2 linked regions of the Xenopus tropicalis genome follow. Each later gene encodes a partner of the first gene's protein in a complex. Links are inferred from orthologs where the notes say so. Each region holds a gene or a part of one and is shown in the gene's direction. Other genes may lie near its edges.

Evidence for each region.
Region 2: fbxl13 (region 1) and ccdc153 share a complex: the UniProt entries of both Homo sapiens proteins name them as parts of the nexin-dynein regulatory complex. The link is inferred for Xenopus tropicalis from reciprocal best matches to the Homo sapiens genes FBXL13 and DRC12.

The regions. Positions count from the first base shown.
Region 1 is NC_030679.2:77,929,093-77,934,820, forward strand, and holds part of fbxl13 (dynein regulatory complex subunit 6), read left to right. Parts: intron 1-4,515; coding exon 4,516-4,609; intron 4,610-4,785; coding exon 4,786-4,853; intron 4,854-5,728. UniProt on the Homo sapiens protein: Substrate-recognition component of the SCF (SKP1-CUL1-F-box protein)-type E3 ubiquitin ligase complex.
Region 2 is NC_030683.2:80,325,138-80,331,598, forward strand, and holds the start of ccdc153 (coiled-coil domain-containing protein 153), read left to right. Parts: upstream 1-2,556; 5' UTR 2,557-2,745; intron 2,746-2,795; exon of another isoform or gene 2,796-2,971; intron 2,972-5,489; 5' UTR 5,490-5,491; coding exon 5,492-5,555; intron 5,556-5,666; coding exon 5,667-5,729; intron 5,730-6,461. UniProt on the Homo sapiens protein: Component of the nexin-dynein regulatory complex (N-DRC), a key regulator of ciliary/flagellar motility which maintains the alignment and integrity of the distal axoneme and regulates microtubule sliding in motile axonemes.

The DNA.
Region 1 (5,728 bases):
CCTGGGCAATGTGCCAGGGGGGCTGTCATGAGGGTCCTGCGATCGATCGGGTTGCAGGACCCTCCAGGAAGCAGCAGACGCGATCGCATCGCGTCTGCTGCTTCCTGCTTCCTACTTCCCCCCCAGCGCCGGCCCAACTGAAGAGGATCGTGTCTTCAGGACAGGTAAGGACTTTTTTTTTTATTCTTGCATTTACACACTTAGACACACATTTACATACATTTATACACACTTACATACATTTACACACACTTACAGCACACATTTTAGCAATTTTTTTTTTTTTTTAATTTTTCACACTTTTATACACTCATATACACACTTACACACTATCACACAACTTTTACACATGTATACACAAACACTTTGGGTTTTTTTTTTTTTTTTTTTTCATTTTACCACTTTGTTTTTAGTTTATTTTACCTAAAAACTGTTTATTTTGACAGCGTGACTATTAGATTAGATATTCTGACCACTAATTACACTGTCATGTGACTTATTTTGTTGTTTCACTGATTTGCACAATTTTTGTGGTTTTATCACATTTTATCCCTGTATAAGTGTTCCTAATCTGTTTTTAGCATAGCTTTGCCAGGTGTAACTTTGGTATACAAAAATAACTTTGCCTATTTTGAATTCATCAGAATGTGTACTTTCCAAAAATATATGGTTTTCTGGGGGTCTCTGTATAGTTAGGGGACGTTTCGGCACATAATACGCTGACAGGGGGCTCTGTGTGCAAAAGCTGAGTTGGCAGGCGAGAAATCCATATGCGCTATTTTCGTTTTGGGGTCAGTACACACCACAGACTTTGGTATATCTATGCATATTGGGCATCAAACTGTTCAGTAGATCTTAGGTGTTCCTATTTGGGGTGACTTGCCTTTGTACTCAAGAAATTGTGTGAGATAAATGCGGCAAATTGCAACATTTTTAGGCGATTTTCTGAAATGTCATAAAAACCAATAACTTTAGGAAAGCTTTGCAGATTGGTACTTTGGTGTAGAAAGGACTCTTTACCCTTGTTGGATTTGTCAGAATGTGTACTTTCCAAAAATATATGGTTTTGTGGGGGTCTCTGTATAGTTAGGGGAAGTTTTGGCACATAATACACTGTCAGGGGGCTCTGTGTGCAAAAGCTGAGTTGGCAGGCGAGAAATCCTTATGCGCTATTTTCATTTTGGGTTCAGTACATACCGCAGACTTTGGTATATCTATGCATATTGGGCATCAAACTGTTCAGTAGACCATAGGTGTTCCTATTTGGGGTGATTTGTCTTTATCTGATTTTTATCAAGAAATTGTGAGAGATAAATGCGGCAAATTGCAACATTTTTATGAGATTTTCGAAATGTCATATAAATCTGCAAACTTAGGAAAGCTTTACAGCTTGGTGCTTTGAAGCAAGAAGAAATGTTTACCCATTATAGATTCGGGGGAATGTGTACTTTCCAAAAATATATGACTTTCTGGGGTGAGCGTACTTTTTACTAGCTTTATCCCACATATAATGATGTAAATGTGTTGATTTTGCAGGAGCTGAAATGACAGAAATGACAGTACATATGGGGGTATGTTCCCATTGGGGCCCCTACATGCCACATACTTAGGTAAACCTATACATATTGGGCATCAAACTGTTCAGTGGACCCCTGGTGTTCAAATTCAGGGTGTTTTATCTTGGTAACTAATGCTATGTGGGAGATAAGATGCTGCAAAGTGGAAGCTTTGAGGGGATTTTTGGAAATGTCATCAAAATTGCTAACTTTAGAAAAGCTGTGCGGCTTGGTACTTTGGAGTAGAAAGACATGGTTACCCATTTTAGATTCGGGGGAATGTGTACTTTCCAAAAATATATGACTTTCTGGGGTGAGCGTACTTTTTACTAGCTTTATCCCACATATAATGATGTAAATGTGTTGATTTTGCAGGAGCTGAAATGACAGAAATGACAGTACATATGGGGTATGTTCACATTGGGGCCCCTACATGCCACATACTTAAGTAAACCTATACATATTGGGCATCAAACTGTTCAGTGGACCCCTGGCGTTCATATTTAGGGTGTTTTATTTGGTTACTTTATGACCTGTAGGAGATAAGATACTATAGACTGGAAGCTTTGAAGCGATTTTTTAAAAAAATCACAAATTCTGATAAAAACCAATAACTTTAGGAAAGCATTGTGCCTATTCTGTATTCCCCAGAATCTGTTCTTTCCAAAAATGTACAATTTTCTGGGATAAACCTTCTGTTAGTGGAATTTTTGGCCTTGAAATCTAAAGTATGCAGCTTTCTGGAGTAGTGCTTTGGAAATTTGGTAGTGTACTGCTGGGAGTTTTTGACCTATACAAGTGAGAAATCTCCATAAAACTATATATATTTGGTATTGGCACGTTCAGGAGACATGGGACTTTCCAAATCAGTTGTATATTCGTGCATAAAATAATTTTTGTTTCTAGTATGTGTGATTATATTATGGAAAATTTGATTTTTTTTTGCATTTTTAGACATTTAGAAGCCTATATCTTGTTACAGAATTGGAATTACACAAAAATTCTACCATATTTTGAAAGCTTAGGTTGTTCTGAAAAAAACGATATATTGTTTTCCTGGGTAAACTAAAAGTCCCCCCGAGGAAAGGCCCCTAAAGTGAAACAGTGCAAAATGTTCAAAAACTGTCTGGCAATACAAGTTCCGCTTTGACCAAAATGGCTGGCAGTAAAAGGGTTAAAGGACATGGAAAGGCAAAGTAACTTGGGGGTACCAAAATGTTAGGCACCCCCAAGTGACTTTAATCGCCTATCTTTTACCCCGGGCTGGTGCCCCTGTTGGGAGAGAACAGCACCAGCCCGGGGTAGTTGCAGCGCTTCCTTCTTCCTGGTTCGCGAGCGCGTGCATGCGCAGTACAGTGAAAAGCCGAACTTTAACAGAGAAGTCGGAAGGGAGGAGGAAGCGCATCGCTCCAGGTACCCCGGGCTGGTGCTGTTTTCTCCTAACAGGAGCACCAGCCCGGGGTACAAGGTAAACGATTAAAGTCACTTGGGGGTGCCTAACATTTTGGCACCCCCAAGTGACTTTGCCTTTCCTTGTCCTTTAAAGAAAATAAGAGTTCAGAATTTTTGCTTTTTCCCCTGTTCTCATCAACCGACTGACTCCCCTGTGATAACAAGGGTCCCACCTTTTCTTGCTTCATTTATTTTACTATTTACTTATTTAAAAAATAATTCTGGATTCATTTTACTCCTGCTGCAATAACCATTCCCATCTCATTGCTTGTTTTTTTACATGCTTTATTGGCTTCCTTGTGCTTGATGAAAGTGCAGCTAACTTGAATTTTGAACATTTTTTCTTACCAACCTTGACACTAACACTTTTATCAACCCATAAAGGTTTTGCTTTGCAATGTCTCTCCTTGCTTACAAGGGGATGATAATGACATATATACTTACACAACATTTTTAAGATATATAATTTTCCTTCTGTGTTTAACCCTGTGAAAATCCTTTCCCAGTTAATATGTTGCAGATATACCCTTATACTGAGAAATATTGCACATCTAAAATTTTAGTCACTCCCTTATAGAGCTGTCTTTGCAACATAATCTCGAAGGAGACCATGTTATGACCACTTTTCTCTAAATGCTTACCCACATAAATGCTAGAGATAAGTTCTGCTTTATTAGTTATTACCAGGTCCAAAAGAGAATATTTTCTAGTAGGTTCTTGAACTGCCTTAAATAAAAAGTTGTAATTTAGCATGTTTACAAACCTGCTAACTTTTTCTGCTTGGCCACCCCATTACTTCAGTCAATCTCTGGATAATTAAAGTCGCCCATAATAACAACTTGACTAGTTGTGAGTCCTCCTAAATTTATTATAGCAGCTGGGCTTCATTCTCCTCATTTATACGGAGAGGTTTAAACCATACACCAATGATAAGTTTCTTTGTAACCTTAAGCCCTGCTGAAAAATCTACCCAAAGGGATTTAACACCCTCCCCACTGCTGTTCCTGGTAAATGTTTTAGCGCAAGGCTTTAATTCTGGTTTTACATACAGACAAACTCCTCTACCATCTCTAATCCCTATATCCTTCATAAATAGGGTGTAACCATTTAAATTCACAGCCCAGTCACAAATTTCATCCCACCAGGTCTCAGTGATACCAATTATATCATAATTTTCAGAACATGCAATAAGCTCTCCTAATTTACCTGACAAGCTCTCCTACCAAGAAGAACATAAATTGCCAGTAGGAAAACATATGCGTTGTTTTGGCTTTCGCAAGGAAACTTCAGGCAACTTTGGAAATCTGAGGCAAAACATATGTATTTTCTACCGCCAATTTACATTATTGCCAATATGAAAGCATTAGAAGAGATTAGTCACCACCAATAGAGGAAATTATTTACGGGGCGACAAATCTCGTGTGTCACAGTTTTTAAGATCTCAAGAACTGGTTTTAGTAATTTATTTTGCCAGATTAAGCATTCAATGTCATTAATTATCCAACAGGGATGCATTTATAGAAGAAGCAAAAAAACCTAAATTTAAGGCAATGACAGGAAGCTATCTAGAATATCTTTTTGGAAGAGATGAAGATCAACTGGTAAGTAACAGGCGGCCCTGTATGTCTTACATCTTAGTTTCAACTTCTCTTTATTTTCACTAGAGGGTGCAGTCACATTTTAGTTTTGTGTCTCAAATTTATATAGCAATCAAGCATTTAAAGCATATAAACTGGAAGATTTCCATTTCTTAATTTTCCTATATTTTATATTGCAGGTGTCTTCAGAATTACTCAAGAAAGCTTACTCATTTTATATCAACAATCTGCAGAAGCTGTATTTTAAGTAAGTATTGTACTGCTTGACAAGCTTGATGAATTACAAAGTACCTTAAGAAATGTTTATTGCTAGCTCTGTATAAGTGTCATTTATTTATAGTGCTGTGATCTGAATTAAAAGCATCAACACCACTGCACATTTATGCCTTTTTGGATTATGATCTGTTAAAATTATATGTTCCCTCTTATAAATGCAGGAGCACCAAACAAAGCTCCACTGACATTTATATAGTTATATGGCTGCATGCAGGGACTTGTGTTTATATATGTAGCACACCTGAAAGAGCGTCTAAAAGTGTGATACACTGACAGTGTACCCCTGGGCTGTGGGAAACTCCCAGAACTCCCCACACTGTATAATGATATTATTTTATCCCTTTACTCTTAGATAGATTGTCAAGGTGTGAAAATAACAGCAATCCAGGGGTTGCTTCAGACAAATTAACTTCTTTGTTATCCAAAGCAGGCTGCTATCCAGCAATTGTAACAATTATAAAAGAAATTTGGTACTCACTCAATACTTTTCCCAATTGATGGTACCCCTCACTGGTGAGACACATCTAATAAACTTCCTCCTTAGAAGCAGTACTGCCTGTCTTGGTGATCCTACACTCAGCAGAAAAGGGCTTGCAGTGATATCTTGCTCACAGAGCAACCTTTCTACCCTAAGCTAGGCCACTTATGTTCCTGTGCTAGCGGTCTTTACACCACAATGATACTAACCCTCTATCCTCCTTGTTGGGGCCTTGAGATGCCCTTCTAAATAGCCTAATTCTGCCTCTCGCTCATAGAGCAACTATAACAATGCTAACTACTGCTATACTTTCCTTAACTATTCCTTTAATGCGTATAGCTAGAGCAGACAACCCCACTCTGCTTCCC
Region 2 (6,461 bases), on another chromosome or scaffold:
GCCACCTTCAGGGGGGACAGGTATAACTGCTGTCAGAGGTCTTGTCTATGCGGGGTGCCTGGACTGCCACAAAAGTGGTGTAGTTCGGGTGGTAAGGATCAGGTGGGTTTAGGGCGCTCATGACTATGTATAGCAGATTTGGTCTAAACAAACAACAGCAGGAAGTACAATGGCAGATGATATTATCAATACTGGCAAACATACCGATATCCACGGTACATAGATATTAGTTGGCTTTGTTTGGCCAGCAGTCATGTACCAAAAATCATACAAAACATTCTGCCATTTTGTTTATATGTGTATGGCCAACATCCTCATTCTTTTACATTTTTACCACTCTGCTTTTTTAATGTTTTCTTTTGTTGGGGCATTTTCTTCATTTGGAAGCCACTACACATGCAGGTTGCAATTTAGTTAATCAGAAACTGGCCTAATAGAATGAAACCATTCTGCATGTGCCACCAGTGCTATAAAACAAAAGCCTGGTTGCTTTGTGTAGGACATTACGCTGCAGTAAAATTAACCTTTTTTTGTAAATTCCCATTAGTTGCAGCCCCTTTACTTAAAGTGTGGTGTTGTAATGTGTAATAATAACATGTAGGTTTCCAGCTTGTTCAACAACAGCTCCTAGCATTAAGGGATTCTTCGAACTGTAACTAAGTAAACATGAGTTCAACACGTATCTATTCTTTATATTTATTTATTGCAATCATGGAAGGAGAGAAATTCTACTCAGGAAAAAAAAACAATTTTTTTTCCATAATATTCACAGCACCTCATAAGCACTGCTAAAGGTAAAAACCAGTTTGCTTTGCTGGATAAGAAATGACAAGTTGCCTAAATCCACAAAAGTTGAGGTCAATGCAATATCCCTGCAGTCAGCCTAAATGCACTCCTTGCAGTCCTGTATAGTTGTGCTAGGTACCACTCTTCTGCCTTGCGTTCTGAATCAGGCGCTGCTGTGCCTTCTTATACAATTGTGGTAGGTGCATTGCAATTGTGTCAAGAGAATCACCCCTTTGCAACTGCAGTGACGCCAGAATTACAGGAAAAAATGCTGCATTGTTGGAAAAAAACATGGCAGTTGCATTGCCTACACCTAAGGGCTCATGTACATCCACAAGTGCAGTGAGTCAAGTGCAATTTTAAACAGTTCTCTTTGCTGGCTTCATTTCTGGTGTTCTGCATTGTAAGTAAAGTACACCGCGACTTTTGTCTAAAATTGTTTTTTTCACACTGCACGTCAGTGTGGTTTACAGTTGTTCCCTGGTGAGAAGCAGAGAAACCAATAACACGTAATGGTTCTCAGTACAACCAATGTTTCTGTACAAAAAGATATGAAGCAATTTTATAATATATATGGCATTAGTAAGCCAAAATAGTATAATAAATGTGCTGCCTTATTTCCAAGTGTGCACACAGTTTAGGACTCCAAAACTTTGGTAAGTTTACCTTTTCTCATTAATGAATGACTTATTGGGCCCTCTACACTACTGGGCCCCCCTGCAACCACAGCATCTGCTTCCTCAGTAGTTACACCTGTTTTTTTGCACACATGTAAGCAGTCTTATACTGAAGGTTCTGTAAAATTCATTGTAAGGTTGAAGACACTCAGAGCGCCTAGTATCAGCTACTTGACATGGCTACAGGAATAACCAATACTGATCATTTACTGATAATTGTCTCTAAGGGACACATTTACTAATCCACAAATCCGAATCCCGAATGGGAAAAAATCGAATTGGAAATGAAAATCTTGCAACTTTTTCATCGCCATCGCGTTTTTTTTTCGTATTTTGCGTGATTTTTTCGTCGCCGTCACGGCTATCATATTTTGTGCGACTTTTTAGTCGCCATCGCGGTTTTTTTGTATTGAGCAATACGTATTGAACCAATCCGATTTTTTCGCGACGGCGACGAAATAGTCACGACAATTTGTGAAAAAGTTGTGACGGCGACGAAAAAGTCTTGACAATTCGCAGAAAATACCGATCATTACGGAAAAACGCATTCGGACGTTCGTGGATTAGTAAATGTGCCCCTAAGTGTGGTTTAGCAGAGGCAATTCTCAGTATTGTCTTTGGCAGGGTATTTTCTGGGGTTTAGTAGCCGTCACAAGTAGCTGCTACTAAATAGCTCCACGTGTCTTTACCCAGAGAGGATCTAAACCCAAAAACATTTAGCATAATTTAAGAAGATTTAATTTAAAGCAATTTTACATTATACATTACATTTCAAATGTTCAGCGGTCTTAGGGCTCTGGCACATGGGGAGATTAGTCGCCCTAATCTCCCCGTGTGCCAGAACCCTTAAAGTTATTTGTAAATGTCATTGCTACTGAAAATGATATTTCTACTATAAATACCTTATACACACATAATGGAAAGCTGGGAGTGTAGGATAGCATAGAGATGTTTTTTATTTCATTATACAAAAAACATTTTACGGGTATAGATTACCTTTAAGTTCAGACTCTGAATCTTTAATATGTTTTGTTTTGTTCTTTTTATTAAGGTGATTTGCATTAACAAATTTCTTGTTTTTGTCTCTTCTCAGAGATTTACCGGTACCTTGTTGTTATACATCTTTTGTTACCATTACAGAAACCTAGCAACCTTTTGTATACAATTCTCTCTGAATCGGCTGGGCAAGGTTTGTGGGCAGGATCTTAAAGTGTCTTCCTGCTGGGTAAGCATTTCTCAGTGAATATCACTTTGTTGTTCTGCTGAACAGGATTCATTGCAGGTAAGGGCCACTTGCTGATATTTGCTGTTTAAAATACAGTATGTTATAGAGTTGCGTATTTGGAAAGGCAGCATGTGGAAAAGGAAGATGGCATCGTTATCATGGGCAGCCCCTGCAGTTGCTATGTCTCCACTATCCTCAGGCTCTTCAGTGTTGCTCTAGGCCTGACTGGATACCTGCATCTAATGAGAGACAGAATCAGAAAATAATCAGTTTGCAACGAAAGGTAATCAGATATAGGATATCTTATGATAAGCATACAGAGCAGGGTTGAATGGCTCCTAACTATGCAATGCTGCAAAACTACTTTGCAATGGATTGAAATGTAAGAGGTCATTTACAACCTTAAGTTCAGCGTGCAGTTTTTGATGCAAATCACCATGTTTTTTAATTCAAACTTAATTGTGGGCACACAGCAACTTGCACATGCTGTGTCAAAACAAACAGAATTGAGCAGTGCAGCTAACATTTTTTAAGAGTTAGGATTGCATCACTTCCGAGAGTCAGCATTAAAATTACGTTAGTGTTTAGTTCTTTTGTCACAATTCTATTGCACTTTGGTTCATCACAATAAGCAGGATGAGGAATGACACAGTGGTGCTTGGCGCAACTATACAGAAGTTGAGGAGGTGTTACTTTTAGGACTTCTTTACATGTTACATCAACACACAAAACTAATTTCTAGGGATGCACCAAATCCAGGATTCAGTTAGGGATTCAGCCAAGATTCGGCCAAATCCACACTCCTGGCTGAACCGAATCCAAATGTTTTCTAATATAAACCTGCCGTGGTAAATCACAAGCTGAAGAGCATGCTGTTCTTTGAGTGCCAACTATTATACTGGCATATACATTTTTGTTCCTAGAGCATTGCACTTTTGTTCATAAATGAGCACTAGATTGGTGTCCAAACTATTTTTATTAATACAATGCAACATTTTTCACTGTCTGATTTTTACTATAATATTGCTTAACACACACACACACATATATATAGTGAATAATGTACCCTCTTTTTTAAAATATAAGGATAGCCATTCCACAGAGGAGTTTCGTGACCATGAGTTCTTATATCCTCTTATTTTACAACAGTGGATACATTTAGTTATTATAAATACACAAGTTTCAGTGAGCCATGTGTCAGAAATTACATCATTAAGCATCGTTATAACTGATGCCATCACTAAGCATAATTTTTAAGGATATAATTATATGATATTCATGGCACTTCTGTGTTATACATATAGGGGCTGATTTACTAAGACACGATTTCGAATCCAAATTGGAAAAATTCCGATTGGAAATGAACATTTTTTTTGCGACTTTTTCGGTAATTTTGTGATTTTTTCGTATTTTTTTCGATTTTTTCAGCGTCTTTACGATTTTTGCGTAAAAACGCGAGTTTTTCGTAGCCATTACGAAAGTTGCGCAAAGTCGCGCCTTTTTCGTAGCGTTAAAACTTAAAAGGCGCGACGTTTCGCGCAAGTTTTAACGCTACGAAAAAATCGCGACTTTGTGCAACTTTCGTAATGGCTAAGAAAAACTCGCGTTTTTACGAAAAAATCGTAAAATACGAAAAAATCGCAAAATTACCGATCATTACGAAAAAAACGCAATCGGACGCATTCGGCCCGTTCGTGGGTTAGTAAATGTGCCCCATAGTATATATAAACACAAACATATATATATATAGTGTACTTATGTCTTGCACAAAAAAATCAATTATAATTATTATAGTCCAGTGAAATTCTTTGCATTTAAGTATTGTTGTGCTGTAGGGTTGCCACCAGCCCTGTATTTCAAGGATTCAGATTCAGTTAAAAACCGGGTACAAATCCTCTAAACTGCATCCAGTGGACACAAGTTTCCATGGGTCCTTTTGCCATAAGGCAAGGTGAGAAGTCTCTCCTTTTCCAGGGGTGGCAAAAAATACTCCTGTAATTTTACATGGAGAATTCCCAATAGCTTTCTCCATTTACATGCAACTGCAATCTCCGCTGACCAATACCCAGTCTGAGAGAAGAAAATGTATGTACAGGTGATGGAAACATAAGGGGTTGGAAGCATCAGATCTGCCTTCTTGGACAGCAAAGAGCCTTGATGTGCACCCGCAGATTTCCCAGTGTGTGGAGCTCAAGGCAATATTCTCCAATATTCTGTGTGATCTGTTGTACTAATTTACTGGACAGTTTGTAAACATTAATCTAGTCATCTAAATTATAAATGATTTAGCAATAATATGGAACAAGTAGCACATCTGTCATCATCTTGAATTATATTTAGTACCATGGCCTTAAGCTATTTCAGTTAATTTTGTTAAGGTGGTCATACATGTTAAGATTTGTTTGCTATTTATATAGTCTTCATTCATAGGTGTATAGTTATGTTAGGTGGGGTCCTTCCCTACTAGTCTCACTAGTGTTCCTGTGCTAAGGGTAAGAGAACATGGTTTTACAATAAAATAAGGCAGTGAAGAACTCACATATAATGAGGGGCCTTAGTGTGACAAGTAAACTTAAATATTTTGGGGGATGTGTGGTGCTAATTTTTCAATATTAATTTAATATTTTACATAGGCCATAATTTGTGCATTGGCAATTATTAGTATGTATTAGTTTGCAGGATTGAAATTCCACATGAACCTTTCAAGGGGCACATGGTAGTTTTTTTCTCCAAAATTATTTTCTTCTTGTGCCTTTGCATCTTTCAATCCTATGACTCAGACTATTATATCTCTTTTATAGATATGCCACCAAAGCAGAAGGGAAAATCTCAAAAGAAAAAGGGGAAGAAAACAAAGAATGGAACAAGTAAGAGAAATGAGACTCTCTTCATCGTAGATTTATAAGTATTTGTAGTTCAGTTCTTATGTCTTTTTTTTGGATTTATGCCATAATTCTAATGGATTTTTCCCCCCTCAGGCTCAGTAGACGACCAGTACCGCAAGGCAACGTTGGAAGTTGAAGTTTTACAGAATCACTTGGGTAACAACAAGGAGATAGATTCTGGCCCAAATGAGCTAAGCCTCAGGAGTGAAACAAAATAGGCTAGCAAGGGGTATATTTTTACAAAGGGTAAAAATAGTTTGCCACATTTCACACTCTCACATGTATAGGAGCTTTTTCTAAGGCATGTTTGTCAAGGCTTGACACTAAGAAGTTTATTTTTTCATAAACACTCCCCCCATATATCATTGCAAGTGAATACAGAGCTGTGAAATTTCTCTCTGGTGAACTTCACCCTAGCACTCTCTAAAAGTTTGCCATTACAATGAGGCCGCTTATTCTACATTTACTCATATAATACATAATTATAAAAGTATAAAGCAAATATAAAATAATTCACATATTTAGAATGCACACAACTTATTTTGATCACCAGAACACCGTAGTCAGGATGATAGCATATTTAAAAAGCTTTGCTGTTGTCATTACATGTAAATTAGCATCATACATCGTGACTCGGGATCATCCATTACATAAAGTTATAAAGGTAGGGCTGCCATCGGGGAAATATAGAGGGAACTTTGGTCAGGGGCCCCTAGTTACACAAAGTTATGAATTATCATTTAAAAGTCAATGGGGCACATTCAGGTAGAAGCTGTTGTTTTAAGTTTACAAAATAAACCCAGCCACAAAAGTGTATTGAATAATTTTAGGAAAAGAACAAATCAGGCCATTAACAAGGCCCCAACAGTAAGCAAACAAAGAAAACAA